Astyanax mexicanus: one gene and its partners. The protein of the gene in region 1 purifies or fractionates together with the protein of each later gene. This does not show direct contact. Links are inferred from orthologs where the notes say so. Each region holds a gene or a part of one and is shown on either strand. Other genes may lie near its edges.

Region 1 (7,164 bases):
TCGTCGGGCTGTGAGCGCGTTTGAGTGAAGGACAGGACGAGCAGAAGGAGAAATTATTGTTAATAAAGCTGCTGCTGCTGCTGCTGCTGTTATCGCTGCGGAGCAGAGCCGAGCCGGGATCGCCCATTTAGCAGAGCCGGTATTACACAAACCGCAGCCCGGTTCCTCCCGGCCGGTCCCCCTTTCCTTCAGAACAGATTAATCTCCAAAACGTCAACAAAACAGGAAAACAGCTTTATACAAGTAGCGATATTCACCTATTCCTACGCCACGTCTCTTTTCCCCCTCCACCGGAACTCCAGATCTGCAATGTGAAACTGATTCTTGTTCCTGTTTTTTTTCTTTCTCCTCCCTATATATAAAGACCACCCCTACACTCATTTGCATACGTCAATAAATACAGCTGCGTCCTTCCACAAGGTTAAAACCAGTCTATATGTCTAAAACACACACACACAAAACTAATCTGGAAAAAAATAAAGAAAAAAAAGTAAGTTCCTAAGTAGATGTGGGCAATATGACCTTAAAATAATATCTTGATACTTTCTCTTTTCAGGGTATTTTTGTGATAATGATACTCTTAGCGACATAACAAAACAACATTTTTTATTCATATACTACTGCAACAGTATATAGTAGTATATATAGTAGTTTCATACATTCAGTAGAAACAAACAAAAAACTATAAAAGTTTGTCAATGAGTTTTTTTTTATCGTGTCAAAGTGTTTGGCGATATTACTGCAAACGGCCACATTCCTATACATTTTAGAACTAACTAATTTCTACCCAGCATTATCACACACTTTCCCTTTCTGTCTCATATGTTTCACAAAATTTTGCCAAGAGTTTACCTAGCCTGTCCTGGCCTGTCCAAGGGCTGAAGGACATTCTTACTGCCCTATTGGACAGTCCTTACCTTTGGGCTCAAGTTATCTGGCTAAAACTGAGAAATTCTAAGGATATTTAACATACAAAAAGGATTTCCCAGTTTATCAGTTACCATAAACCAAACAGAAGAGGATTATTCAAGAGTAATGTCCCTTAGACATTGTACCATTGGACAGACTCTTCAAAAAGATTTCTGGCTAGTCAGAGAAATCGCGTTAATACATTAATAAGTTTTAAATCTTACAACTATATAATCATGTAATATACCTCATGCCCACTAATTATGAAAATAGTTAACACGCACAATAATATCAAAGTTAATTTGTATTTGCATGTTTCACTGTTTTTCTTTTTTACCCCATAATTTAAATTAAATTTAGTGCTGTCAATGACTGCGCCAATGAATTATAAATGGTCCCACAGAAATGCTCCAAATTAGGCCTGTCATAATAATTAATTTGTCTGGATGTTTATATTAATCCCAAAATAACTGCAATATACAACTATTTCAACCATTTCATGAGACTGATATGAGTGTATGATAGCATAAGCAATTGCTCCTTTTTAAAGAGCAATTCACCTTTAATTATTAAGACTTTACCTGTTTACCTGTTAAGAACTGCTTTTGAATCAAAGTCAAAAGTGTTTATGTATGTAACGTTACAGTATATTTTTAAGCCTGAGGCTGCATTCATAAAGCATATCAGTTCTGACCTAGAATTAGTTTACAGTGATCATTCTCACCATTCCCTGCATAATGGTTTCATCTTTAAAGTATTCGAAGCCCTGACCAGATGAAGGGGACAAAGACACTTAAATTAACTCAAATTAGACACTGCAGCAAAAGGTTAACAAAAAACAAGCATGGGAAATATTTTAAAAAGCATGTAGATTAGGCTGTGCTAATCACCAAAATACACAAAACAATAATAAAATCAAATCAAAAGTCTTCTTCCAGTAGAAAATAGCAGGCCAAGTGCGCTATGCGACAGTTTTAGCTTAAACAGCCCGAGAGATGCAGGCTGCAGCTGAGTGAACACTCCCTGCAAGCTCATCGTGCTTAATATAGCCTGGCACACAGAAACGGCACAGCAAACGATCCCTGTCATAGTTAACAAACAAACATTCCTGTAGAGTCGCTGTCGCAGTTAATCCTCGCTTTTTTTCTATGTTGCTGCATAAGAACTGCCTATTCAAGGTCAACTAAGTGATCAATACAGTGGGACAAGCTGTCAGAGCAACCCACACACTCCCTGTCCCGGGAAAGAAGCTTAGCTACACCGGCCTATGCGTCAAAGCTCATACAGCAGGATAAGTAACCCAGCTAAACACATACACATATGTGGGGGCTATGGCTATGGGAAGGGGTGAAACCATGCACCCCCTCACCCTCCCCATACACACACACACACACTAATCCTCCACTGCACCGATAGCATAGCGAAAGCACAACCCATATGCCACAACATGCACGTTTCTGCCAGCGTAGACTGCGTACATCAAACAGACATTACCTTATCGTTTCACCTTTGGGGGATTCTGTGAATAAAAGCTATTATTTTTCAGTTTGGTTCGTCTCGGTATTGATATGACAAATGAGCTCCCCTGCTATAACCGAGGTAAGAGTCAGCAGTTGCCTCAACAGCTGATTGACTGCGGCGCATGGATGATGCAGAAGAGGCTTCTGGGAAATGTAGTTTTTTTCCCTGTTTTAACTTCCAGCGTGAGTAGTTTTTAGTTGTTTAGATATTTTGATCACAGCTTAATGTTTAATGTGTAAAAAAAGGGAATACAATCAATATACAACTATTGTAAACATAAACGTATTTTATCAAGAAATATGACAATTTGTATAGGAACATTCATCCATATGCTATCTATGTTATAACCATTTAAATATAGCCACCACATTGTAGTGTGCCAACTCTGTTGCCTATTTCGCTAACTATGTTAATTTAAAAACTAAATAAAAAAAGTAAAACAATGCTATAAATATATTTAACTAAAAACTTCCCACAAAGTGAAATGTACTCACTGGTTAAAGCAATCTGGAATTGAAAGTAAACAATACTGCCTATTTAGCTACATGATGCAAAAGCTAAATTAAGAAGAGAAACAGTGGGCCAATGCACATCCAATCTATAGGCTATTATTTTATTGTTTTTTAACCCCACAGAGTAAAAAAAAAGTTGTCACTGGTGAAATTAATCTGAAATTTCTTAAAAGTAAACACTTATGCCTATTTACACAATGCAAAAGCTGCATTATTGAAATGAGTAGGCCAATCACCAACCAAGCATGGGGTTGATTGCACAATTTTAATAATCTCCCACTGAGATGTTTAACAAATTAAAAACAGTTCTGCCAACTAAATTATGTACAAATTGAATTAAAATAAAGTCAGAGGGCCAATAAACCAATCATAGGCTGCATTTATCATTTTTTCCTAATCTCACACAAAGTGAGTTCCCATTGGGGTGAAATCAATCTGAAACTAAAAGTAAACATTACTGCCTGTTTATATGATATAAACATCAAGCAATTATGGGTTTAATTTTTAATAATCTTTCACAGAGTTTTAAAAAGGTCCTCACTGGTGAAATTGAAAGTAAACATTATTAACCTGCCTATTTGCAAAATGCAAAAGCAGAATTAAACATAATAGGCTTTTTCTGTATGTATTTTTTAATTGTAATAATCTTTCACAGAGTGAAAAATAAATCCTCATTGTGTTAAAACCAATCTGGTACTGAAATTATCTAACTTAATTCAGATTAAAATGAAGAGTGACTCATCCTTATCCCTTTTTTTATTTCAAATATAATGTCCTTGCTATTTCATATGCTTACTAGCTAACACAACAGACACCCTCTCTTTAGAAATAGCTTAATCACTCACTTGCCACCTTTAAACATAGTAGTTAGCCTCCCTACTTCTTCAGTCCTTCTTTCTCTTTACAGAAGCTTTAGTGAAACGTGTTAAACGTGTCTTGGTTAGCTAACGTTAACTTACCGCAGTACGAGGTGTTTTGCAGCCATATGTGTATCTTCATAGCTGTGTCTTCCTTCTGTTTCCTAATGAGGCTCAGTGCCTCTGAGTCTGGGAGCGCCAGGCTGCCGGGGTTAGCTGGAATATAAATTTGATATTGTTTTGGCTATCCTTGCTGATATGAAGGAGAGGAGTGAGGACTGAGACTACATGACCCAGAATGCTCAGCGCCGCGCGCGTCGGTTTTTATTGTTATTGGTGACGCAGTGCGCGTCCCCGAGACAGACACCTCGCAGTCAAAGAGCAGTAAATGGAGTCAAACGGACACGGCACGAAACTATTAATAACGGGGAAAGTACTAGCTAGCTAGGTTAATAGTGATGTGGAGTTTTAGTCGGTGAGGCGTGTTTATAGTGTAGTAGGGGGTTTAGCTGTATGTAGGGAGCTGGGTTAGCTAGCTTTAGCTAACTAGCTGGGGTTGTTTCGGTATCGGCTCGGCTCGTCCTCGTTCAGGCCTTTCTAACCTCAGCTAACCGCTCTTCAGATGGTTCAGACTGTTTATTTAAATAACCGACAGCTCGTTTCTACGCTTGGAAACTTTTGAACACTTAAGAAGACATGGCGGACGAGAGTGCCGTTATTGTTCAGCAGATGTTGGACAGGTATGTGAATGAACGCGTTGGTGAGGGTGACTGACCTGCAGGAGAGACAGCTATCTAGCTAGCTAGCGTTAGCTGGCTGGCTGACACATTGGCTATGCTAGCTATCTAGCTTGCTAAGCTAATTAGTTAACCTACATAGCTTGTACGCATGTAGTTAACTATGTATCGTGTTCTGTGCTGTTGGACTGTTGTAAAAATAGCTGTATTGTTTAGCTAGCTAAGGTTAAATTAAGTAAGCTAGCTAAGCTAGGTTAGCTTGCTAGCTAGCTGCTTGCCAGCAGTGACAGAGAAACATGGAGAGGCGTGTTCTTAGCTCGCTAAATGATGTAACGCTAATCAAGCCATGTAGTTTAGCTAACCTAGGTGACCTAGGTTTAATGGTGAATACTGTTGTAATGAACATTTTAGGGCAATATTCTTTAACAAAATAAAAATAATGCTACGAGGGATCTCATATTGGAATTCTCGTTTTACACAGATTTCTTGGAAGAAAGCCTGATCACTCCCTTAAGTTTTGTATTTCTAATTATAAATCAGAGAAGTAAGTTACACTTAAATCCTACGTAATATCTACCGTGTAATTAAAATTGGGCTGTCTGCCCAAATTAAAATTGGGTAAAGGTAAAATATTTATTGTTAAATTTAATTTGTTTATTTAGCATATGAGATGTGTTGTCAGTATAACTGTTTTGTTTAGCTTGTAAAACCTTTTTGGTTGTATGTTTTAATTATCTTGGATGTCCGATTTTGTATAATAAAAAAAGGTAGCTGACCTAGTTAACTAGTGGTAGGTTAACTGCCTAGAAAGTCAGAAAGCAAAGGTATCATTATTTTAGTAAAAGTGGCCAAATTTATTTTCTGTAGACCCACACTAAAAAAATGTTCATAATATGATTCTTACTTAAACTAACTTGGACAATTTTTTAGGCATGATCTTTCCTGTCAGTCCACGTGCAGACACACCCACACCAGCTGTAGCTGTCTGTCTGTTGTCCTATTGTTGCTGGCATACTTACTTATCTCATCATTGTATACCAGGTATACCAGGCCAAAACCTTTGGCTTCCCACATAAAAACTGAAATTTTGCAGGAGAAGTGAAGCAGCTAACCTACAGTCAGGAAAACAAGTGTTTAAAATAGATCTTCATTAAGAAGCTTAACAGTAAACTTGGGTAGTGTGACACACCTAAGGACAGATCTAGGTTCAGTGTGTTCCATAGAAAGATCAAATCTTCTTCATGTCTTTTAAATTGGGCTGTTTTATTAATTTTGCTTTCTTCAAACCTCACTGGAGGATATTGCTTGATAATTGTTTTAGGGTTATCACTGTTGCTGTAAGATTTGACATGGATACATGTTTCTGTTCAATAATTTTTAATTTACCTGTTGACCACGTAATTCATATTAGAGCTAGTTTGGACCACAGTCTGGTACCAAGACTCATTGTTGATATCGTAAAGCATGGAAATGTCTTACAAATTTATAATAATGCTGCTTATTTAAAGATAAAGTAGCTTTTTTCACTTTGAGAGCATCAGCGCCATCATATATTTAAACAAAGATCAAACCTACCATCCAATATTTTCAAAGGACTTTTTTATCAAGTGATTTTTCGGGCACCTGCTATAACTTATGAAAGACTGGCTATTGCCCCTTTAATATTTTGAACAAGATAAATGTGCCATTGATCTGTGCTTGAAAAGGATTACAGGTTACACCTAGCAACAAAGTTTCATTATGACCTTGAAATGAAGCCTGACCAGGTTTGCCATGTCATATATGTAGCTGCTCTTATGAAGTTTGGAGAGTTTGGAGCAGGACACAAACTTTGTCTGTCTATCTAACATTATATTTCATATTTTACTTGGAGATTTAAATATTTATGTTCGACTGACTGTAATAAAGAGAATATTGTCTTCATTGCTGCTCTGGTCAGTTAGCACATTGCTAACTGAGCTATGTAACTCTGAAGCAGACAGGATACCGCTTGTAAGAACTGTGTAATGCTACGTGACCCAAGGCATATTTGTGTAATCTGGTTTTATTGCTCTACCACATTAGTCTATATGTTTCTTTCACTTTTAGTTCATTGTTTCTTTTACTTTAAGTATATTGATTCTTGCATATTGTTGTTTAATTTAAAGGTTTAATATATTTAATCTCAAGCAGCATAATTCAGTACAGTTAGCAAAGTCTACAGAGAGAAATACCACAGAGAGTATAGTTTGCATCATGTTGTATTTTAGATTGCCATTTCTCTTAAGCATATTGAGATATATGGTTTTTAATCATGTCCTCCAACCCTAGCTGTAAGCTTGAATTCTACCCTTCAGTAACCTTGAAGCTGCAAAAGCCTCTTTTCCATTCCAATTTATTTAATATTGGTTCGTCTAAATTTAGGCAAAACGCAGCAACAGAGCTATTGATTTGCTGTGGTTCTTTTTTGCCCTGTCGTGGTGCAGGGCAGCTCTCTGTGTCCTGACCTTGTCCATGTTTTTTCCACTGAGAGTCGTGTTTGCCAGAAGCTCTGTGCTCATGTCCCTGTGCTGTAAAACAAACCAGATAACTGGATTGAGGTCTGGTCAGCATGCACAAGCCGACATGTTTGTTGTTCCCCTGAAAAAT
Region 2 (7,899 bases), on another chromosome or scaffold:
ATATAATCAAAAGGAAGATGGGTGATCACAATCCATCAAACCAAACTGAACTGCTTGAATTTTTGCACCAGAAGTGGCATAAAGTTATTCAAAAGCAGTGTGTAAGACTGGTGGAGGAGAACATGCCAAGATGCATGAGATGAAAACTGTGATAAAAAAAAAACAGGGTTATTCCACCAAATATTGATTTCTGAACTCTTAAAACTTTATGAATATGAACTTATTTTTTTTGCATTATTTGAGGTCTAAAAGCTCTGCATCTTTTTTGTTATTTCAGCCATTTTTCATTTTCTGCAAATAAATGTTTTAAATGACAATATTTTTATTTTGGAATTTGGGAGAAATGTTGTCCGTAGTTTATAGAATAAAGCAACAATGTTCATTTTACTCAAACACTTACGCAAAATCTGAGAAACTGATTTTTTTTTTTTCAGAGCTGTATTGTTGCACTTACAGTATTACTATAAAGCATGGTCATTGTGGTGCAAATAATACCCTATTTTACTTTGTGCTTTTCAGGTCAATGTGTGCAAAAAAACAATATGTTTTATGCTACAAAATATTTAATACACAATGTATTTTGTCATTTGTGTGTTGTGACACCCATACTGACAATTAAATCACAATATTATACGGAGAAGGAAAAGCCTGTTAAAGTCTGTTAAGCAACCTAAATTGGTGTCACTGTAGTTAACAAATAACCCAGTCATTATTTAATTTACCTGACTGTCTTTTCCCATCAGTGTATCTCCTACCTCAACTTTGTTGTGAGGTACAAACCTGACGAGCAGCCCTTACTCACCCCACACCACGATGCGTCCACTTTTACTATTAACATAGCTCTCAACAGCAAAGACATTGACTATCAGGTAAATGAGTCCTTGGCTCAACGGTGGCGCTTCGAGCTGAGACTAAAGATGCTGTGGCAGTTGTAGCGATGCAGGGGGAGTGGCTAGCTTATTTCCCCTCTTTTCTCCCCTCAGCTTCATTCTTCTGGAATGCCTGAAGGGTGGTCTGCTCTCTTGTGTTTTGTGTGAGAATGTTGCATGACGCTTTTTGCCTCTCTTTGTCTGTTCTCTCTTCACAGGCTCTGTTTGATTTGGCGTTTGTTGTTAGATATAGACCCGATGAACAGCCCTCTTTAAGGCCACATCACGATGCGTCCACTTTTACTATAAATATTGCTCTCAATCAAGTGGGAATAGATTATCAGGTGAGTTAGAGCCTCTGTGTTTAAATTGCACAATGGTTTGATTTGTGTTTGACATGGGCTTTTTTTGTTTGCTTACCAAATAGATTTTTTTTAATTAAGTATCTTATTAAAATGATGGAGGTGCAAAACTTGGTTTTATAAATGAACATATTGATGAACTAAAAAACAGGTACTAAAAACAACTACATTTAAAATAATAACATTTCCCCCTTTCTTTACATTGACAAATGTAAATAATATTTGTAGTGTTTAACCTACAGGTTCGGTTACCATGCATAGAACCAGCATATCAGTAAATTTAAAGGAAACATTAGCGGCCTGTATTGATTTTGGCATAAAACTGCATGTGAACTTCAATATATGAAGTATTAGTGAGTTACAAATGGGTAATAATACTTTACAATTTACAGTTGAACTACTATCTTAGTAGTACTTTTAAGGAAACTACTTAGTACTTAGATCTAAATATTTTCCACACCCCCCACTCAAAGGACTTCTATTGAATACTAAAATAAACTTTGGCGCTGTGCATTAGTCACACTGTGTGTCTGAAAATAATAAAAACTAATTTTATTGTCAAGAAAATTCACCTATAAGCAATGTTGTATGTTTACCTTCATGTCTGGCATTGCTTTATCTTCATACTTTGTAATACTTCTCTCCATGTTGGTGAAATCTCATATTATTCTCTGCTTCTTCCTCCAGAGCTTTACACATATTTCCTTGCATGTAGACATTTTAATGCTTTACAGTTCTTTCTTACAAAATTAAAATGTTCTTAACATGTGGGTAACTTTGTACTGCCTTGAGTACATTTATGTCTGTTCCCTTAATATTCTGCTTTAGGGAAACATACCTGTTACCTGTTGAGCTTTAAGACATATGGTTTATCATTTAAAAGCTACAAGTGCATTAATTGAAGTATATGTGTAGAAAAGATTGTGTACAGCCCATATTTAGCCCACATTCATAACTTGCAACATTGTTTAGACTGAAGAGGTGATGTGTAAGAATAGGATATTTTATTCTGAATGTGGAGATTGATATTTTAATGTTGAAGAGTCTAAATATATATTGGAGCCCAAGCAATATGACAATAATACCACAAATAACTCAGCATGGTCAGAAATTCCAATAGTTTAGCCAAAGATTGCATCATTGACTGATATGATTGGTGGCCAACTGTACATTGACATATTGTTTATAATAAACCATTGTAATAATTTAGGTAGTATAAGTTTTGTTATAATAGTTTATATGTTAACTGGTTTCTTCTAATCAGCACTTTTTTGTTCTGTGCATAGAAATTGTGTTTTTTCTTTTTTGATGAAAGACTATAAATTATATCTCAGATTTTTTAAAAGTCAACAGGAGATGTATGTAAATGCTGGTTATTATGCAGACATTTAAAAAGTATTCAATAACAGTGGTCAGTGACAGCACCATGTTAAAACCTAACTCATGTCGTCTTATCCATCCGTTCTCTTGTCCAGGGCGGAGGCTGTCGATTCATTAGATACAACTGCTCCATACGGGCCCCCAGGAAAGGTTGGGCCCTCATGCACCCGGGCCGCTTAACACACTACCATGAAGGCCTTCCTACCACATCAGGCACCAGATACATCGCTGTTTCATTTGTGGATCCTTGAGTTGATCTCATAAGGAAGCCAATTGTTTAGAAAAACAAAACCAAACAGGATGGTTATATTGTAATATGGGAGTTTTAGCAGGACCAGAGACGCAATCATTTTGACTTTAAATTGAGAATCATTAAACGATTTGATAGAGACTGTGCCTTACATGCCATATAAATCTGTAATGTTGTACTAACAGAACTGTATTTAGAAGGCCAAGTGAACTCAGGTTTACTTTAAATGCAGTAGATGGAGATGCAGTGTGTACCTCTATGAAAAAAATGCTTTTATTTATTGATCCATTTCCAAAGCATTTACACCAAAGGTTTAAGTGATAGAAATTATTTGCTCAACTATTTTTTTTTCTTGGATAACAGAATCATACATCAGGCTTTCTACTTGATAATGTTTCCTAGAAAAAGGTGCTACTGTTTAGAGATGGGCTGATGTAGGTTTTTTCTTCAGTGCTCTCTTAAGTCATAATTTTATATGTCCGTTGTTTTTATTTTAAAGGTTTGTTTTCTTATTTTTTCTTGTCAATAAATGTTACTTTTTCACTAAGCTGGACTGCTATGTTGTCTTTCTTTTTGTAAATTTTGTCAGATTATGTCAAATATCTTACAGTATATCAAAGTTCTTATTGGCAATACTGTTCAATTGGCTGGCTTTTTTTCAATATGGCCAAGAGGTTAATTACAGTCATGCAATTCATCCCTCCCATCTGGAAAGAGACTGTAAACTAAATGTCAGATCACTGCTTTAGAACCATATTTTACATAACTGATCAAAATTTTCTGCAGCAGGACAATGATCCAAAACACACCAGCAAGTCCACCTCTGAACTTAAAAAGGCAGTTCATGCTCAAAAACCCTCCAATGTGTCTGAATTAAAACAATTCTGCAAACATGAGTGGAGGCAAAATTCCTCCACAACGCTGTAAAAGACTCACACAGGGCCATGTAAGTTTAGATTTTTTTCTCCCTTAATAATAACACCTTCATTTAAAAATAGCATTTTGTGTTTACCTGTGTTGTCTTTGACTAATATTTAAATTGGTTTGATGTTCTGAAACATTTAAGTGTGACAAACATGCAAAAAATCAGGAAATCAGGAAGGGGCAAACACTTTTTCACACCACTGTAATTCTAGCTTGTAGCTGCATTCTAAACAGCCTGCAGTCAAGGTTGGACAGGTCCTAGGGTGGACTGAAGTAAAAAAGATTTCTGATTAATCAGGCAGGATTCTGAGGCAGAAAGACACCCAGTCATGTCTGAACCGAGGTCTAATAATCAAGCCTTCTGTTTTATTTGGCTAAAATCCTAATGGCTAATGACAACACAGCTAAACGCTAATATCTAGCAGTGAGCTGCATTATATATATTTTCCTAAGGACTATGTAAAACTAGTTGGCTACTTTCTCCAGTATAAGCTTTTTTTTTTTTTTACTTGAAAATTATTGCATAGTAATAATTTTATACCAAAAAAATCTATATATGAGATATATGAGCAACACTAGAGGTTCTAGGGGAGGTTCAGATGAAATCTGATTGGCCCTCTGAAGAGCCCCTGTCCTGTCAAAATTGGTAAGGAGATATTTATGGAGTTAGTTTTGTACCAAATGTTTTACACAAAAATATCAAATTATATACATACAAAAGCAAATAAATAAATAAATAAAAAGCAGAAGCAATCAAGAGATTCCAAAAGCAGAAAAAAGAAAGCATAAGATGGCAAAATCCACATAGAAATGGTTTTCATATATATTTGATTATTATTTTTGTTGCAGATTTTATTTTTTGTGTAAAACTTTTGGCACAAAATTACCTCCATTTTTTTTTATTACATTCAAGTGTGAACGTGGGGTGACTGCTGATCACTGTTGTTGCTTCAGCTCTAGTATTCAGTGTTTCTTGCACTGCTTCCTATCTAGAAAATAAAGTAACAAGGGAGTAGGGATCGAGTGTAGAAGTGAAGGGAAGAAAGCAATGTTATTGGGACGCGGCCTTTCTGCCTCCTCTCCTCAGAGCTGTGTCGCATTCGGATGATGTGAGGTTAATGCACTTGTAGAAGGAGACCGACCAGTTAACATTGTTACATAATAAAACTACAGCTGGATTCATAGAGTAAACAGTACGATTTTAATCATTTTGGCTGCATTAGAGGCAGTAAGGTGTATTAAATTACCTGGGTATAATTAACTAGCAGAGCTAGCTGTGTCCTGACCGCTCTTCCCTTCTTTCTGGGAGCGCTGACGGAAAGACCAAACTGGACAAGCTAAGCTAAGCTAACCTAGCTAGCCACCTAACGTTTACTATCTTTATTACGCTAAATTTCTTAAAACTTACGTACAGTTTCGTGGATAATCTTGGAAATAAAACTAGCAACTGGCTGTTTATTCGAGGACAGTGGAACCAACATGCTTGAGGACTTGTTATAACCACGCCTTTCTTGGTAAGTTGCTAATGAGCTAGCTAGCTTAGCTAACTTGCTCATATACACACTTTACTGTATAGCTAACTAGTTAAATTCAGGGGTAGTAAAACAGATAATGTACTTATAAAAAACGTAATTCCATGCTACTTTATAACTACTTTATAAAGCGCGCACTTATTGTGGCACATTAGCTAGGTTAGCTAACTACCTGGTAAATTTGCTACTATCAATACATTTATTTAATTAGGATACCCAGCTAGCTGTTTAGGTAGAGTAAAAATCCGATAGTTAACTACCTGTAACGTAGCTTACAAGTGAGTAGGTTCATCATTTGCACAGCATGCCCATGAGGCTCAGGTAGCTAACTAGCTAGGTTATTTACTCTACAGCAGAATAGCTACAGACTAAAGATGGACAATGTATTGATATTTTATTATATCGTAATAATAAACCTTATTGTATCGAGATATAGAGGTAACGTTACCAGAATACCACCACAGTATCCTTTACAGGAACTGTTTTAAAGATTTTGGAGTAACATCACTGTGGCCACGCCCACAAAGCACCTTAGGAGTTGACTGGCAAATATTTCACATCATTTCAGAAATGTAGTATTTTCTCTTCAATAAAAGGATGGCCATATACAGCTCTGGGACAAATTAAGAGACCACTTCTCTGATTTTGCTATTTTTAGGTATCTGTTTGAGTAAAATGAACATTGTTGTTTTATTGTATAAACTATGGACAACATTTCTCTCAAATTCCAAATAACAATATTGTTATTTAGAGCATTAATTTGCAGAAAAATGAGAAATGTCTGAAATAACAAAAAATGCAGAACTTTCAGACCTCAAATAATGCAAAGAAAACAAGTTCATATTCATAAAGATTTAAGAGTTCGGGAAATCAATATTTGGTGGAATAACCCTGTTTTTTATCACGGTTTTCTTGCATCTTGGCATGTTCTCCACCATTCTTACACACTGATTTTGGACAACTTTATGCAACTCCTGGTGCAAAAATTCAAGCGGTTCAGCTTGATTTGATGGCTTGTGATCATCAATCTTCCTCTTGATTACATTCCAGAGGCTTTCAATTTGGTGAAATCAAAGAAACTAATCATTTTAAAATGGTATCTTATTTTTCCAGACTGTTTGCAGCAGTTGTGATTGGCTAAGCCGTGTTGGGAGAGCTGAAAGTGAGCGTTGTGATTGGATCAGTTATCAGTAGTCAACATCTTATTAAAGGGATCAGCTGTCCCTTTTCCCCAATTACTGCTCCTTCACCTTATTTCGAGGTGGGAGAGGAGAAGTAGCAAAAGATTTTGGACACAGTCTTGGTTCTTTAGCTTGAACCCTCACGGTATCTGTGGGCGTGTCTGTTTGTACAGGAGCACCGCCGCTGTGCGGGGCCCTCTGTTGATGAAATATGATGTAACTTTTGGACGGTTTTACTAAAACTGGTGGCGTTCACTGAGCAGCACCACGGCTTTTATAAACGGAACTGGTTGAAGAACCAGTGTAAAAACTCAGATAAATAAGTGCTGGGTGTTGTTAGACAGGACCGGCTAGAGCTACACCTCTGTGGAGGAGGCGTGACCCTCACAGCGAGCAGCGTGACCGCTGGTGGATGTGGGAATCAGTGTTTCAGCGACGACACGAGGAGGTGAATACACCCCCCCTCACCCAGCCGAGCGGTGTGGTCGGATTAGTTCCACGGATAAGAGGAGCTTTGGGACGGGCTGAGTGTGTAGAGCAGGGCTGCTGTCTGCTGGAGCTGGAGTGCGTGTGACATTGAGCGCGAGCGGGACTCACTGTAGCACACGCGCTCTGAACATGACTCTGCAGGCTGAGTTAGCTGTCAGGCTAACATGAGGTCTGTCTGCGCTGCGCGTGTCTCCGGCACGGCTCTGTGAATTAGGTGAACGGTCACGGCGGGACCACTGCGCTGGATGTCCCGTTTTTACCCTGCAGGATACATATTTTAAATTTTTTACTTCAAGGTTGAGCAAATACGGAAAGGTAAGAAGGTCATGTAGCTAAAATCTCGTATTTTAATAATTTTTTTCCATTTATAATGGAAAAGCCTTATGATATATTTAGGTTAGCTAGGTTAAATAATATAGATATACTTTTTGCCAGCCTAGTTAACGTTTACTAAATTTATCAAGCTAACTATTTAAATTAATATAAGTAACTTAGATACAGTGTTTTCTGTCAAACAGTTGTAACTGTTAGCTAAAATGCTTTATACTATTCAAAAAAGATATATTACAGTTAAAGATGAAGATTAATGTATTCTGTAGGTAATATAACTAGCTATAATCTTAACAAAACATTCAGGACTAATAAAATAGGTTATTTTAATGTTTAACTAACTAGTTAGTTAAGATTTCCACTTCCAATAAAAGTTGAAGTAATCTTTCTGTGTGTAAGGTTATTGGGGAGTATGGAAAATTATAAATACTTGCTTAAAATGTTATTGGCATCCAGTACAAAGACTGTAACTTAATATAAAATGGATGTTTCCCCCTGTCACAAAGGGACATAGAGCTAAACTGAGAAACTGGTAAAAGTTGTGCCTAGGTGTGATTATTATTATTATTATTATTATTATTT
Region 3 (7,506 bases), on another chromosome or scaffold:
TTGTCTTCATCAGTGCCTTCAACACTCAGGAAGCAGTTTGTAGTGTGTCCGATGCCACTGGGAAGCACCCGGTCCCGCAGCATGGCATTGATAACAGTGCTTTTTCCATTGCTCGTTCTGTGAGGAAATTCAGACAAGCATAAACACTCAGATACAGCTCTACATTATCCACAACCACACAGAAATAAAAGATAAGAGCCTGCATTTAAAAAAATGTTCAGGGTCCATAAACAATAGAAGATATAATAAATCAAAAAACACCTACTACTTATCTTAAAACAATTTAAATGTGCTATAAAAGGTTCTTTGGATGAGCCAAATTTATAATAGAGATGCATTTGTAAAGAATCTTTACAATGAATTAAGTTTCTTGTCTTTTTGCATGGACAAGTCTAGCCAGACACTCCCAGCCACATTAATTACACTCACTGCCCTGTCCACTGTCCACCTCTTTTATTTAAATGATTTTTTGTAGAACAACAAATGGTTTATTTAAAGGACAACCTTTATTTTTAAGTACACCACAATCAATAACAGTTGGATTTAAAAACTCAAAAATTCTTCCATTAAATCACCTGCCAAAGAAGGCCACCTTCATATGCCTGCGAGCGAGCACCTCTTTGATGACCGCCAGTTTCTCAGTATACGATTCAATCTCCTGCAGCTGAGTGCTGTCTGCAATATGCTCCAGCGACGTATTCTGACATGTTTCTAATGTACAAAAACAAACGAATTAGAACAAATTAAAACAAGACAGGTAAAACTATAATAAACTATAGTTTAAAATCACTTTAAATCACCTTTTACAAACTCTGAGCCCTCTTGGACATAGCCCAGCAGCTGCTCAAAGACATCATTTATCTTCTTTTTGGCTACTACAAAGTGCTTTAGTGGAGAGCGGTCCTCTTGGTCCATTTCTGAATTAGCTAAAAAACAAAAAAACAAAAAAAAAACATTACATTACTCATAGCAGTCTAGCTTTTTTTTTTTTTTTTTTAAGTATTTTTTGTTTTTAATTTTTAACTGCTTACCTTAAGGGTCCCCAAATAGTTACGATGTGCCAAACCTTTAAAAGCAAGCACACCACAGCCTTATTAATATTTAACATTTATACACAGTTTACATATTTATACATATTAACTACTAAATAGTACCAAAATACTCTTTTATAATATTTAAGTAATACCAAGGCAATTAGTTACCAATTATTTAATCAGAATCTGCATGAATTTTAGCCGAGTCAAAAGGGTTGTGCACTGTTCCACTGAGCAGGGATGCTTGCACAAGCATGATCTTGATGAAAAATCTTACTCCCAACATTTTCCATCTCCAGTTCTCTACATAAAGACAAGCCAGGTGAGTTTTGAAAACAGTTGCTTTGGGCTAAGGAAGTATTTAAAAGTGTTTAAAAGAACCAACAATTGGTGGAACTATCTTATACAACAGGATTATAATCTGAAGCACACCTCAAAACAACCCAAGAACACAGTAACAGAAAAAATGTTTTTTTTTTTTTTTTTTTTTTTTTTTTTTACATTGTAGCTTTATATTACAGACATAAATGCAATTAAGGGACACATATGGAAGTACATATAAAACCAAACAATCCCCTGATCTAAACCTGATGGACTGAAATGGTGAATGAAACAGAAACTGTTGTTCAGCACCTCCAGGAACTTTTTCAAGACACTGAGAAAACTATTCCAGGTAACCCTCCTTCATGAAGACACCAAGAGTGTTAAAATACCAAGAGTGTGCAGATCTGTCCTCAAAGATAAATGTGCTTCTTAAAAGAATCTTAAGTATAAAACATATTCTGGTTTGTGTAACCCTTTTTGTGTACAGAATAATTCAGCATGTGCTCCTGTATAGCTTTAATATCTTTAGTCTTAAATGTACACTGTACAAAATCGTAAAATTAAATAAAACACATTGAAAGAGAAGAGTGACACTGTATCGCAGAAATAAAGGCCTTCTACTAAGAAGAATATGCAAAGACCTTCAACAACAAGAACTTTTCAAGTATTTCTAAACGGGGGATTGTTTATTAAAGCATATTAAGAGCCTTGAAAAATAAAAATGAATTAATACAAAAACTTGGGCTACATATTTAAAGCAGTGGCTAACTATTTTAACTGCTTATCTGTTTACCTAACATTCACATAGCTAGTTACAACTGCAGCAAGCTGTGAGGTATATCATATGACAAACATCAGAAACAGCCAAAAGGATCAGCTGTCAGTATATTTAAAATCAAGTACAAACCAGTATTAATGCATTCAATCGTAACTAATGAGCATTTTTTCCCTAGCAAAAAATATCTTATAGCTTAAATAAATAAGTTACACAGTACTAAGCCCTTAAAAGTTGAGAGGCAAACACCAATAATACACAAACCAGGTAAGATAAGGTACCCTTAACTTACGTGCAAACAAAACCTCAACAAAATGCAAAACAGAGCAGAAACAGGATTTCCACCGCCCACTGTGATTTGTGTAGTTGAGTTTTTAATCGCTCTGAGCTCCATTCAAACAGTCTGAAGATGGCTAATCTAATGGTTAGCATCTAATCAAATATTTATTGAGCTAGAGTTAGTTAGCTAACAAGCTAGCTACTGTAACCTAGCTAAACTCCTATAAGAATAATCACTCCTCTAATTATTATTAATGTTATTAATCAGCCAACAATCATCAATAAGACCGATAATACCCACTTCACCCGGCTATACAAAAGCATAGAGTGTCGGAGCCTCACAGCCAGGACGGGGTTATTTAGCGCTGCGGCTTTATTTCAGTTCATAACCAACGAAAACAGCGAAAACACAGCTTGCTAAACCTAATTACACTATATCGACACGCGCATATTATCATATATATGATAATAAAACCCATAAATAAACGCCTTACCGATTTACAGACTGATTATATCCTCTCGTGTCATGCTAGCTGGATAAAACACACACACGAAATATTTGACCCTTCAGCGCAAAAGCGTGGAGATCCAGCACAGCAGCTGCTTCAAAATAAAAGTCCCAGAGCTCTGGTAACAGTTTGACCTGATCTGATAACAATCAGACTAATGTAATAAATCAGACTCTACTGACTGAAAGGACTGAAAAAAACCCCATTGAATTAACGTTATTTTTTGTTTAATTACATATTTTAATGTTTATGACTATAGAACATAGAAAAATGATCGTTGATTCAACATACCCTGCTTTACTTGTATATTATACTTTACTGTATATTATATGATTGCAAAGATAATGGTCTAATGTTTTTATTAAAACAGAAAACCAGTGGTGTTAACCATATTGCAATTAATTTTATATGCATTCCCAGAGTATTTGTTTTATTGCAATTAATCAGACACTACTGACTAAAGGGATAATAGGACAGCTACCCTGACAGCAAAAAAAAAACGTTGAATTAATGTTATTATTATTTTTTTTGGTTGAATGTAATCTTTTGATGTTGAAGATTATAAAAATGAAATATATATATATATATTTTTTTTTATTTTATTGTATTTATTTTAATGTATTTGTTGAATTACATCTTACATATTGGTGACTTACGTAGGTACCTGGGTACATTTTCTAATTGCAAAAAAATAATGATGTAATAATTTTAGTTAAAACAGAAAAGCTTTGGCGTTAAGTAACTTCATATGCATTCCTAGATATCAAAACATACGTCTCTAATGTACTGAAACAACGCCCAACGTTCATTTAATAAATACATTTATAAAAAATACATTTTTGTTTCAAATTAAAGGAAAAAGGTGAAAAAAGCACAATAATTGCTGCTTAGGAAAAATGCAATGCCCTGTGGGGGGAGGGGGGGGGTTGTTATAGATGGTTTATATGAATATTTTGCCTAAAATATGAGAGTGCAAAGGGTTGTTGTATTGCTGCAGGGTTTTGATAACGTGTTGGTGCTCTCTGCTGGTCGCACTGAAGAACATGTAGGGAGTAACGATAGGGTGTAGGGAATAGGGTGCCGTCTTTTCAGTTGTACATGACTATATTAGTAGTGGAGATAGGGATCAGTATATAACATTTATAATAGGGAGTGGAAAACTTGGACTAGGCTACAAGCCATTGTAAGTCACACAGTACATGTTAAAAATGTCCTTAAAAATCCTTAAAAATCTCCACTCTAAATGTTGTGTTTTCTAAGTCTAGGCTTAATCTCTATTTGGGGAAATTGGGCAAACACAATACCTTATTATAAAATACCGTTTTCAGACTTTGTACATTTCAATTTACGGAATTTGGCTGATAGTCTTATCCAGAACGACTTACAAGGTTGTTTCTATTACAGAGGTGTGCCAATGTAGTGTTAGGTGTCTTGCCCATGGTGTATAACAGTATAGTCACCCTAACCTCCCACATGATGTGGAGGCTCTCAAGCAGGTGGAGGTGTTATCCACTGCGCCGCACCAACCATCAAATAAAAGGACATAAAATAAATTGGGTTTTTGACTCGAATAAAGAAAAAATAATAAAAGAAATTAATAATGGTACTAGGGTTTTATATAATGGTTTAACAGTTAAAGAATCAGATAAAAAAGGAACTATAAAATATTAAACCTATATGTCCTATACAAAATTGTGCACAATTAGAAACATTGGATGCATTATTTGTTTGAATGTTATAGATTAAAGGAAGTATGGGATAAATTAAATCAAATTAGTGATAAAATAACAATAATCTATTATCTAATCTAAAAGTAATAAAATATGGATTTTTGAAGAAAGCCTTACAGAATATTAAAGGGAAATTATTTGGTTGATCATTTGCATGGTTTAATGTAAACTATGGAAAACAAGATGTAAGTTTGCCATAGAACATCTAAATATTACAAGTGGAAGTGTTTTTAATCAGACATGGTTGAACTTACAGACTGTGACTAGTTAGTTATCAGCAAAAAGGAGACAAATGGACATTTTAAAATGTTGATATTGTTTGTAGGTAATAATACTGTAAAGTTTATAATGTGTATATTATGTTTTTGGATATTGTGTTCAAAATGTATGTTTGAAATACATTTCTTCTTGAAAAAAAGAATTAATAAAGTATAAATAAACTATGGTACTATGGTTTCAAATGACAATTGAAAATATATGTAATTAAATATTATCTGAAAAAATGAGAGACATAACATGGCTAACTGCAAATGAAAGACTCCTTGTAATAAATCTTATAAAATGGAACTATAAAATAATTAGCCCTATATGTCCTATACCAAATCAATTAGAAACCTAAAGGCAATAAAATATGGACTTTTTAAAGAAAGCCTCACTGAATCTCAAAGGTAAAGTTTTTAATGTGTGTATTATGTTTTGGATATTGCGTTTGAGATGTATGTTTCATGTAAATTTCTTATTGGAAAGAAAATCAATTCAATAAAGTATAAATAAACCTAAGAGGTAGTGGAGTAGTACGTAGTAAGACGTAGAGAGTAGGGAATAGGGTGCGAGCACTTGCGAATAGCACGCACCCGCCGTTCCCTTCTCGCTCACTCCGGACATCGTCACCCTGTCAGCAGATAGGAAATGGCGAGGCGAAGCGGCCTCACCGACGCTGCGAGTGTAAGAGCGAGAGCCCCGGTTGTTTAACTCGGTTGACCGCCCGGACGTTTTCATGGTGGACTAAGGCCGAGCTTGTTCGAGCCCATGGAGCCCCATGAGGAGAAGCCCATCATCTACACGATGGAGAACAAACCCATAGTGACGTGTGAGTGCGCGGCTATAGGTTGTTGTTAGCAGTTGGAGCTAAGCTAAGCTAAAGCTAGTGGCTGCAGCCGCCGCCGCCGCCGCTGCTGCTGCTGCAGAGTCTGTCTGCCACCTCAGAGAAACCCTCACACATACAGATATATACGTGTATACATATGTACAAACTGTGACTAGTGTTTTATTGTACTGTAGAACAATCAAACACACCTACAGGCAGCCCCCTAAACACGTAGCCAACCAGCAAGCTAAATTAGGTGCTAGTTAACCTCCCTGCAAACTAGCTAGTTAGCTATTAGCATTAAGTGCCTTTAAACCGCCGGGCTGTTAATCTAGCGTTAGCGTTACTGAAGCTGCTGAGCTGGAATAACAGCCCTGGCCTGCTGCTCTGAATCTGAATGAATATGAAAATATCTAAAGATAAAGACTATATGTTAGTTTATACATCACAATTTTAATACAGGGCGAGAATACACTAATACATAATTCACATAACTGCACTCCTAACTCGCCTGCTTCGTGTTGGCATTTTCCATTCCACCTTAAATAGTGCAGTAGCTAGCCACATTCTGCTGCACTATTTAAGGTGGAAATTAATTTCTTAGCTACATTTTCTACATCAGCTTAGCAGGTTAAATAACAGTACAGCAGGTGTGGATAGCTACCTGGTGATTCTATGTGTAAAAGACTGGCTATATAACCTATAAGCTGTGAATTCAGCGTGCTGTCTTGTTTACTGAAGGAGGTGTGTGTTTGCCTTCGTGCTGCTTGGGGTGTGTAGCTATGTTTTCCACGGATGAGAGAAAAGGGAAATGCGTTCTTTCGCTTCCACTTCTCTGTAGTAAAGGCATGTTCAGCACTTAGTTCTGTGTTACAGTAAGCTGGTATGCTCTGGATATACTCCCTCATTACTGTCGTTTTCTGTCTTTTGCAGTGATCTTTTTTTTAATTTAGTCTAAGCATGTGTATATGCACCTGCCCATTGGTTGCTGTCATAGGAGAGCTGTCTGTGGACAACAATTTACATTCTTTTCCAAAAGAAAGAAATGCATGCCGAAGAATGTAGTTTGGTTTGTTTGATTGGAAACCGTCCACACCAAAACGCACCCTGTGGGCACGTGTTAAAGGGTCTTCTTTTGTTATGTGTGCTCACTCAGTTTTTTTTACATTATTTTAAAGCATATAGTTTAAAAGTGAACATGTTAAAACGTGATACATTTGAGTGTGTTTTCTTGATGGCAAACCATATAAACCAAAACATAATAAGGACAAGTGGGCAGGAGCTGAAGGGTCTTCAGATTGGCCTCTGTTGTGTTTTAAGAAGTTGTGTTTTTGAGGTCCTTTTGTTTTTGTATTTAGAAAGCCAGACTGATGCCAGTCAATCGTTATTTAATTTTAGGTTTGGCACTATTTCTAATGTTTTCTGTGCCAAAGTTGTAGCTGTTTGTTAGTTAACTTAAATTACTTTCATAAATATTTTTATTGGCTTTCTTTTTTAAGTGAAACAGTATGCTTGTGTTGTGCTGTGCTTTCTTACTGCCATAGTGTCTTTTTTTGTTTTTAAATAGTTAGATCAAAATGTGAACAACCCATAGTGGTTCAGTGTTAAACACACTGCCATAGTGATTTGGCCCTTGAGCCAAGGCCCTTAACCCTCACTGTTCCACAGGTGCTGCAGCAATATCACTGTGATTGGATGCTGTTCTCTCATATTGCTTTTGCGTCTTCAGTTTTATTTAAAGCAGTAAACACACATGACTGTCAAAGTG
Region 4 (7,241 bases), on another chromosome or scaffold:
GTTTGCTGTGTGCATCCTGATGATAACAGAACTGATACTGGCCAGAAAGGACTATTATGATATTCTGGGGGTTCCAAAAGATGCCAGTGAGCGTCAGATTAAGAAGGCTTTTCACAAGCTGGCCATGAAATATCATCCTGACAAGAACAAGAGTCCCGACGCCGAGGCGAAGTTCCGGGAGGCAGCAGAAGGTAAAAGACCATCACACATCTAAGCATGTTATAGTATAGTATATAAAACACATATTGTGTGCAGTGATGGAGGGTAGGGATCTTCCGATCTAATCAGGTTCCTGCTTTTTAAACCTGATCTAAGTCTGATGCTTGGTGCCATTAACATACATGAACTTCTAAACTGCTGCTTCTAATATTAATTCTCCATTATACCTTGCAGTGCAGCAGTTATATTGTGTTCATTTCAACATCACAACATAACTGCTAAATCACTGAAAGTGGAATAGATAGTTATTATGCAGACATTATGCAGCAAAAAAAAACAGCCCACAGAAAACCAGTTAAAATATTTGCTAGTTGATCTTTTAGAAAATAAAATGTTGTTTGTGTATTTATGTACTCACCAGTTCAGTTGTACTTGTGCAACAGGAAAAATATTATTTCATTATATCCATAAGGGGAGATAGACTCCCAGCACATCTTTATAGCTATCAGTGTACCACTATCCACACACACACACACACACACACACACTGAGTGTTTTGACTGCAATTTTTAAAGGAACTGGGAGGTGATTGGTCAGTTTGGCCAGTCAGATTGGGTTATGTTATTTAATATGGTAAAAAAAAATGAAGCTTAATCAGGACATCCCTAAAGGAATGAGGTAAAGTTACTGAGAGCTCCTTTAGAAAAATGTGTAATGCATGTCAAGACTATATATGAAAGAGTTTAGTGGCTTTTTATTGCTCTGTGGGAAGTGCTCTTATCCCCCCTTTTTTTTACTAAAATATTTTTATTTAATTGAGCGCAACTGACTCTGTATTGCCTTTATATCAACAGTTACATTAGTGCATTACAGCCCATTTTTACATGTCTGTTAAAACTCTAAAAAACTAATGCATTGCTCCTTTTGCCTTTTTCAGCTTATGAAACACTCTCGGATGAAAAAAGGAGGCAGGATTACGACAAGTTAGGACACGGTGCTTTCTCCAGTGAAGGAATGAGAGGGGGAGGCCAGTACTTCCATCAGACCTTCGATTTTAACTTTGACGAGATGTTCAGAGACTTTGACATCTACAGCCAGAACAGGCACGCCCGACCAAAGCGTCACTTTGAGGACCATTTCAGGGCCCACCAGCAGGCTCACAGCCGCCACAAGAAGCACTTCCAGGGGGGTTTTGGTGCAGGTGTCTTTGAGGACCTGTCTGATGACATTGAGAGAATGTTTACATTTGATAGACACAGCAAGCGGACTGACAGCAGGTTTCACGGCACGGCGAAACAGCACTGCAGGACTGTGACTCAGAGAAGGGGGAATATGGTGACCACCTACACAGACTGTACCTCCTCCTGAGCTACTAAGTGGACCATAGCTACCAGCAACCATTGTGTAGCTGGGCTCTGTTCAGCTACTATTAAGCTATATATTTTTGGTTGTTTATTTCATTAATTTATTAACCCGTTGCTGTGTTGGGCGAGGTTTGATTTTGTTTAAGAATAACTAGGTTTTACGTTTTATTTGGTCGCAACTGACATTACTTTAAAAAGAATATGCCACTGTTAGGAACAGAGTTAGGAGTTGTTTGCATTCCATCATTTCCCCTGTATACCTCTAAATCTGTACATCACTCTATAGCCGCCATTATGCTAATATTTATATCTGCTTACCTAATATTAGCTAATATTAGGTACTGCTAAATTTATTGGTGTTTACAAGTTGTCCTATGAACATTTTTGTTCTCTGAATGTTATGGTTTACAAGGTTAAAATATATAGAAATCTACACACTGGCTACATGAGTATACTAACACTCCTGCACATTGAAGCTATGTGTGAAAGTCTGCAAATTAACTTAACACTATTGTATAATAACACCAGTCACTCATAGTTGGTCAGTTTTACTATGTTTGTTGTGCAGTAGTGTTATCTTACTTAAAGCAATTTTGATGTTTTAACACTAACATCACAAAATTCAGGGGAATCAAGAAACATTCTGAGAAAAAGTATGGATACAATTTGTAGCATTGTTTATCACAAGGCATGGCAGCAGTGATTTTAAAATATATTGTTTGTGTTTCCCAATGCAAGTAGAGAAAACCTATTTGGATCCAAAGTTCTTAAAAGACAATTTCATCATAGTTCGTCCACTTTTTGACTTAGGTTTTTTTTCTAGGTTTGGTTTTAAAGAAATAGCTCACTCAAAGTCACAGTTAAACTCTTTGGTCCTTACTCAGAATGTCGCAAGACGGTGAAGTCACAACTTGACCTGTCACTCTAAATAGCTCATGTCTACACCAAAAATGTCTTAAGTGAGCCTGACAGGCTCAGAGAACCCAAATAGATCCAAAAAGAGTAATGTATAATTTATAGAATATTAGCTTCAAGATGGATGTGTTCGAGACAGAACATATAAAGCCCCCATAAAAATACATACTGATAAATGCTTAAAAACACAAAATAAATTATGATTGGCAGTTACTTTAGAGTTTTAGTACTTACTGTTTCATGGATTTTAGCAGTGCCTTTTTCAAAGTTCTGAAGGGAATTCAGATTAATTGTAAACAGATGTTCAAGGTTTGAGAAGAATAATAAGTTTAGGATTGAAGTTCACGTCTTTGGTTGCCTCATTAGGGGGGATGGTCTTCTCATAATAAGCAGGTGATCTATTACCTGTTACAGGAGCTACTGCTTCGAGTTTCTGTCAGAATCATTTTGAACTAAAGTTTAGGGGGTTTCGCTGTGTAGTTTTTGCTTGTTAAAAGCAATATAGGAAAAGGAAAATGTGAAGGCATATGCTTAAAATGCTCATCTTTTACAACAAGGTTCTATAAAAAGCTTACCGTAGTTCTTCCGAAGCTTTGGCTGCACTTGAATTCAGTCTGTGAGAAACACTTCTAAAACAAAGCAAATCTGTTGTGTCGCTTTATGCATTTGCCTGAGACTGTCTTTCACTTGTAGATTAGTCTCCAAACCACCTTATATGCATGGATCACTTCAGTACCAATTACTGATATAAATGTGTCGGGTCCAGCTCTGTTCTTACCTGTTACCTCATTTTTCATTTGGGATAACTTTGTTTTTGTGCAATATTATAAGCTAGCTCTCTTGTTAATACCACTGTTGCTAGCTGGTCTTGTTCAGTTGGAGTATCAGCTGACACATCAAGCACTTTTATTACTTAATCCTATGGATGAAATGTAAATAAGTATGTTCAAACCCAGATGTATAATGTATAGAACTTGGGTGAAATAAATGGTAAGAAATGCAGTAGTTGTGGTGACTGTTTTTCCTCCCTTTCAATACCTGTGTTATACTCATTGCCAAGAAAAATGAGCACATTCAGCATCTATAGACATTGAACTGTTCAAACATGTGCCTGAGAGTTATGTGATCTAAAATAAAATGCCTAAGCTTGAATGTCATGAGCCCACAGCTCCCATACCAGTGAGTACCTAATTTAGGATGCTATCACAAAACAGTATTATGTGTATTATCTTAATAAAATGGTATATTGCCATAGATTTAGCAAATGAGGGATTGTTGAAACAAAAACACTATCTGGTTCCAGGGCACCTAAAAATAGTAGGCAGCAAGTGAACATAAAAACGAAGTAACTGTAACAAAAACCAAAACATCAGGCCAACAAAAGAATGGCTAGCCTAAATACGTACACTTGTGTGTCAATATTAAGTGTGTCAGTATTCTCAGACTTCCCAAGTCTGATGTCTGTATTGTGAATATAAATGACCACATAGAAAAAGACTTACTATGATAAAAAAGTTTCAAGACAAAGTCAACTTAATTTATCACAAGCAGAGTGTAACAAAGCAGTTATAATAACGTAGTGCTAAACCAATTTGTATTCGTTTATTATCACTTCTGTCTGCGTCTGCCTTCGTCTAAAATCCCACAACATGCCCCAAAATATTTCGGTTTCACTCCGGTTTCTTGGGTGAGAGTGAAACTCGGAAATGTAGTTCCTTTTGTCAGAGGATTCCCTAGGAGTTAGGCCATGGATCTGTGTCTGCGAACTACAAATCCCATGAAGCCGCGCGGCAGAATTTGTGCGCAGTTGGTTCCCGGGCCGGGCTGTTAAATGGTGGCACCGTGAGGGACATTGGATGACTTTGTGCTGTTTTTAGCCGTTCTACAGTAGCGACTCCATTCATTTAGACAGGCAGCGGTCGCCTGAACCATGGAGGCTCTTATTCCTGTTATTAACAAGCTGCAGGACGTGTTTAACACAGTGGGCGCGGATATTATCCAGCTGCCGCAGATCGCAGTGGTGGGAACGCAGGTAAGTTACGCTAACTAGCCATTGATAGGATTTTACTGGAGTTAGCCGCAGCAGGCTAACAGCAGTGAACACTGCGGTGATTTAAATACTCCCCCAGTTATTCTGTTAGCTGGTTAGTTTACATAATATAATTAACTATGCAGTGTGAATGTTTAAGTGCTAAGCTTGTATACACAAAGAGCCCTTTCTGTTTACTACACATAATGCGGCAAGCTGACGTTAGCTAGCTTGCCTACATCCTAGCCTAGCTAACAGTTAACCTAGGAAGACTTGTGTTGGCTGTCAATATGACTGTCTTAACTTTAGTCAGCTAACTTATTTGTCTTTCTGAGTAGATTGGTTCTTTTTTAAAATTCGTTTTAATTCTTGCACACTGGCAGTAGATACACCAGTACTTTTACTGTTTAGTTATTTATATGATATCCAAAATAAATGTAGCCTGGAGAAAGAATATGAAAGAGGGAAATATTAAAATAGTAAACATAGAGATAACATAACTACAATAGATGTAAGTTACACTATTCAGTATATTCTTTACAAAAAGGCTGCTAATGTTTACAGCTTTCCTATAACAAGATGATTTAATTTACCTAACCATACATATATGCGTACATTACGTTGTCAATAAATTATTTCTAAAGATAAAGATTTTTTTTCTGTACTCACTGCAGTAATGTTGCTACCTTATACATTCCCAACACAAGTCAAAGGTCCACATTTCTTAAATAGGTGATAGAACAGACATAATTTAAAGTCTATCTTCTGTGCTTTAGAGCAATTATATACTTCATATATCATATTTCTTCACTTTACTTTCGTTTTACTGTACAACAATTTAAAGTCTCAAGTGTACAATCCTTTTATAATGGTGTCAGAAAGCCATATTCATCCAAAGCTTCTACCTGAAGGAGAAGTGAAAGTTTATCCTCTTCTTCAGTCTATTATCGTAATGGGTTTAAAGGCATGTCTTATTTTGGCTAACTGGACTTTCGCTCCTCAGTTAAGAGGATATGTCTGTCTAACTAGGAACCCAAACACCGGAGCCGCTGCTCCACAAGAACAGTGAAGTGTTAGTAAGCTGTCTGGGCTGCTTAATAGCTGGATTTCTGCCAGTAAAATTGCATTTTGTGTTTTTTCTGTTGTGAAATATGAGCGCATGTGAAGCGTAAGCTGCTGAGAACAATAAAATACAAAGGTAAAAAAAGTCTGAGGCCTCAGACCTTGAGAACTACACACATAAAAATGGGCTTTTTTATGATGCTCTACAAAGGCAATAAATTGGCATTTGGACATTTTTTTGACATGTTTAGATTCCACTGATATTTAATTTTGTGATTTTTAAACTCCAGAATAGCATGAATGATTCTTTCTACTGCTCATCCTGGTCCTGTTTCAGTACTGATTTCTGTGTTTTAGTGTTTGTATTAGCTTTGAATGACCAAATATGTACATGCACATATTAGTTTCCATATTGTTGCATATCTAATTTAGCATGTTACTAAAATACAAGGTTATGTGTATTCTTTTAGTAAAATAGAGAATGTTTTCATACATCCAGCAAATATGGGACAATTGAAGTGAAAAAAACATTGATCATCTGGTTTCATTGGCACCATTTAAGGGTGTGGAGTTACATAACAGGTAGCATGTGTACATAAGAATCTGAGTGGCTGTGAAAAGAATCAAGTTTAAACCAAATGTAAAATAAACAAAAAAAAGTAGATGTTTTGTTGTCAAATTACCCCCAAAATAATAAACTGCTATAAAATATCATGATTAAAGCCAATGTATTACTTTATTTAAACACCCAAAAATGGGCTTTAGCTTAAAACAAAAATGTGTGAGGTGCGAAAATGTATGTAGAGTATATATAATTACTGCAAGAGATTGCAAACAAATTAGCAAGAGTTTATGCTAATCACCCGCAAACAGAATAACATTTGGACAGCTTACCCACTTTATTACACAATTTTTACTTCCCATTGTTAGAATAAAGGTGGTTTGTACCTCATTTGTGTGTTATTGTTGTGTGTTGTCAGCATTGGTCAGAGTGTTTTTTATGTGACTGTGATCTTCTCGTTTACAGAGCAGTGGGAAAAGCTCTGTTTTGGAGAGTCTGGTGGGCCGGGACCTCCTGCCCCGTGGGACAGGCATCGTCACCCGCAGACCGCTCATCCTGCAGCTGGTGCACGTAGACCCAGAGGACCGCAGAAAGACGAGTGATGAGAACGGTACTCTCTCCCTGCAGTCTCCCTGATCTCTCGTCTGTTATTCACGCGTGTGGGTGTGTCGTGTGCTTCTGAATGAGCCGAATGCGTCACCCTCCCATTGTCTGTCTCAGGTTAGAGCAGTAGGGGTTAGGCCAGGACTTGTGAGCAGCAACCTGTCACAACAAAAGGAATGCCGTGCTTTCACTCTGCTGTTTTTTTTAAGCTGCCCACACAGCATTAGAACAGTTTCTGAAACATTCCTCTCCTTTATCTACGGAGCCTGGGAGGGGCCGTGGATAAAAAAATAATAAAATCGAGTGAACGATGTAGCAGTTCGTGCTCACGTTTTCTTTAATTCGAGTGAACGATTTGCAATTCGTGCTCACGATTTCTTTAATTCGTGCTCACGATTTCTGTAATTCGTGCGCACGATTTCTGTAATTCGAGTGAACGATTTCTGTAATTCGTGCTCACGTTTTTATGCGCAATAAGACAAGAAGCTCGGAGGGAAAGGAGCATTTTCTCTCTTGATCTGTTACAGGGGTGCAGTAATGATAATCA

Evidence for each region.
Region 2: the proteins of marchf5 (region 1) and mfn2 purify together in Homo sapiens (affinity purification with mass spectrometry; 5 studies listed by BioGRID and IntAct, counting the BioPlex papers as one, with this or other methods). This does not show direct contact. The link is inferred for Astyanax mexicanus from reciprocal best matches to the Homo sapiens genes MARCHF5 and MFN2.
Region 3: the proteins of marchf5 (region 1) and mfn1b purify together in Homo sapiens (affinity purification with western blotting; 4 studies listed by BioGRID, with this or other methods). This does not show direct contact. The link is inferred for Astyanax mexicanus from reciprocal best matches to the Homo sapiens genes MARCHF5 and MFN1.
Region 4: the proteins of marchf5 (region 1) and dnm1l purify together in Homo sapiens (affinity purification with western blotting, with the first as the bait; 3 studies listed by BioGRID). This does not show direct contact. The link is inferred for Astyanax mexicanus from reciprocal best matches to the Homo sapiens genes MARCHF5 and DNM1L.

The regions. Positions count from the first base shown.
Region 1 is NC_064414.1:41,275,239-41,282,402, forward strand, and holds the start of marchf5 (E3 ubiquitin-protein ligase MARCH5), read left to right. Parts: upstream 1-4,154; 5' UTR 4,155-4,495; coding exon 4,496-4,539; intron 4,540-7,164. Other genes in the region: cpeb3 (cytoplasmic polyadenylation element-binding protein 3), read right to left, coding at 1-127. UniProt on the Homo sapiens protein: Mitochondrial E3 ubiquitin-protein ligase that plays a crucial role in the control of mitochondrial morphology by acting as a positive regulator of mitochondrial fission and as an important regulator of immune response.
Region 2 is NC_064419.1:19,263,741-19,271,639, forward strand, and holds the start of mfn2 (mitofusin-2), read left to right. Parts: upstream 1-4,883; 5' UTR 4,884-5,299; intron 5,300-6,738; exon of another isoform or gene 6,739-7,302; intron 7,303-7,899. Other genes in the region: plod1a (procollagen-lysine,2-oxoglutarate 5-dioxygenase 1), read left to right, coding at 744-869, 1,088-1,213, 2,707-2,862. UniProt on the Homo sapiens protein: Mitochondrial outer membrane GTPase that mediates mitochondrial clustering and fusion. Mitochondria are highly dynamic organelles, and their morphology is determined by the equilibrium between mitochondrial fusion and fission events.
Region 3 is NC_064423.1:30,687,650-30,695,155, reverse strand, and holds the start of mfn1b (mitofusin-1b), read right to left. Parts: upstream 3,017-7,506; 5' UTR 2,907-3,016; intron 1,338-2,906; exon of another isoform or gene 1,203-1,337; intron 1,067-1,202; 5' UTR 1,032-1,066; intron 927-1,031; 5' UTR 916-926; coding exon 801-915; intron 712-800; coding exon 576-711; intron 118-575; coding exon 1-117. Other genes in the region: trappc10 (trafficking protein particle complex subunit 10), read left to right, coding at 5,681-5,741. UniProt on the Homo sapiens protein: Mitochondrial outer membrane GTPase that mediates mitochondrial clustering and fusion. Membrane clustering requires GTPase activity. It may involve a major rearrangement of the coiled coil domains.
Region 4 is NC_064417.1:36,154,253-36,161,493, forward strand, and holds the start of dnm1l (dynamin-1-like protein), read left to right. Parts: upstream 1-4,229; 5' UTR 4,230-4,368; coding exon 4,369-4,470; intron 4,471-6,556; coding exon 6,557-6,701; intron 6,702-7,241. Other genes in the region: dnajb9a (dnaJ homolog subfamily B member 9a), read left to right, coding at 1-191, 1,097-1,527. UniProt on the Homo sapiens protein: Functions in mitochondrial and peroxisomal division.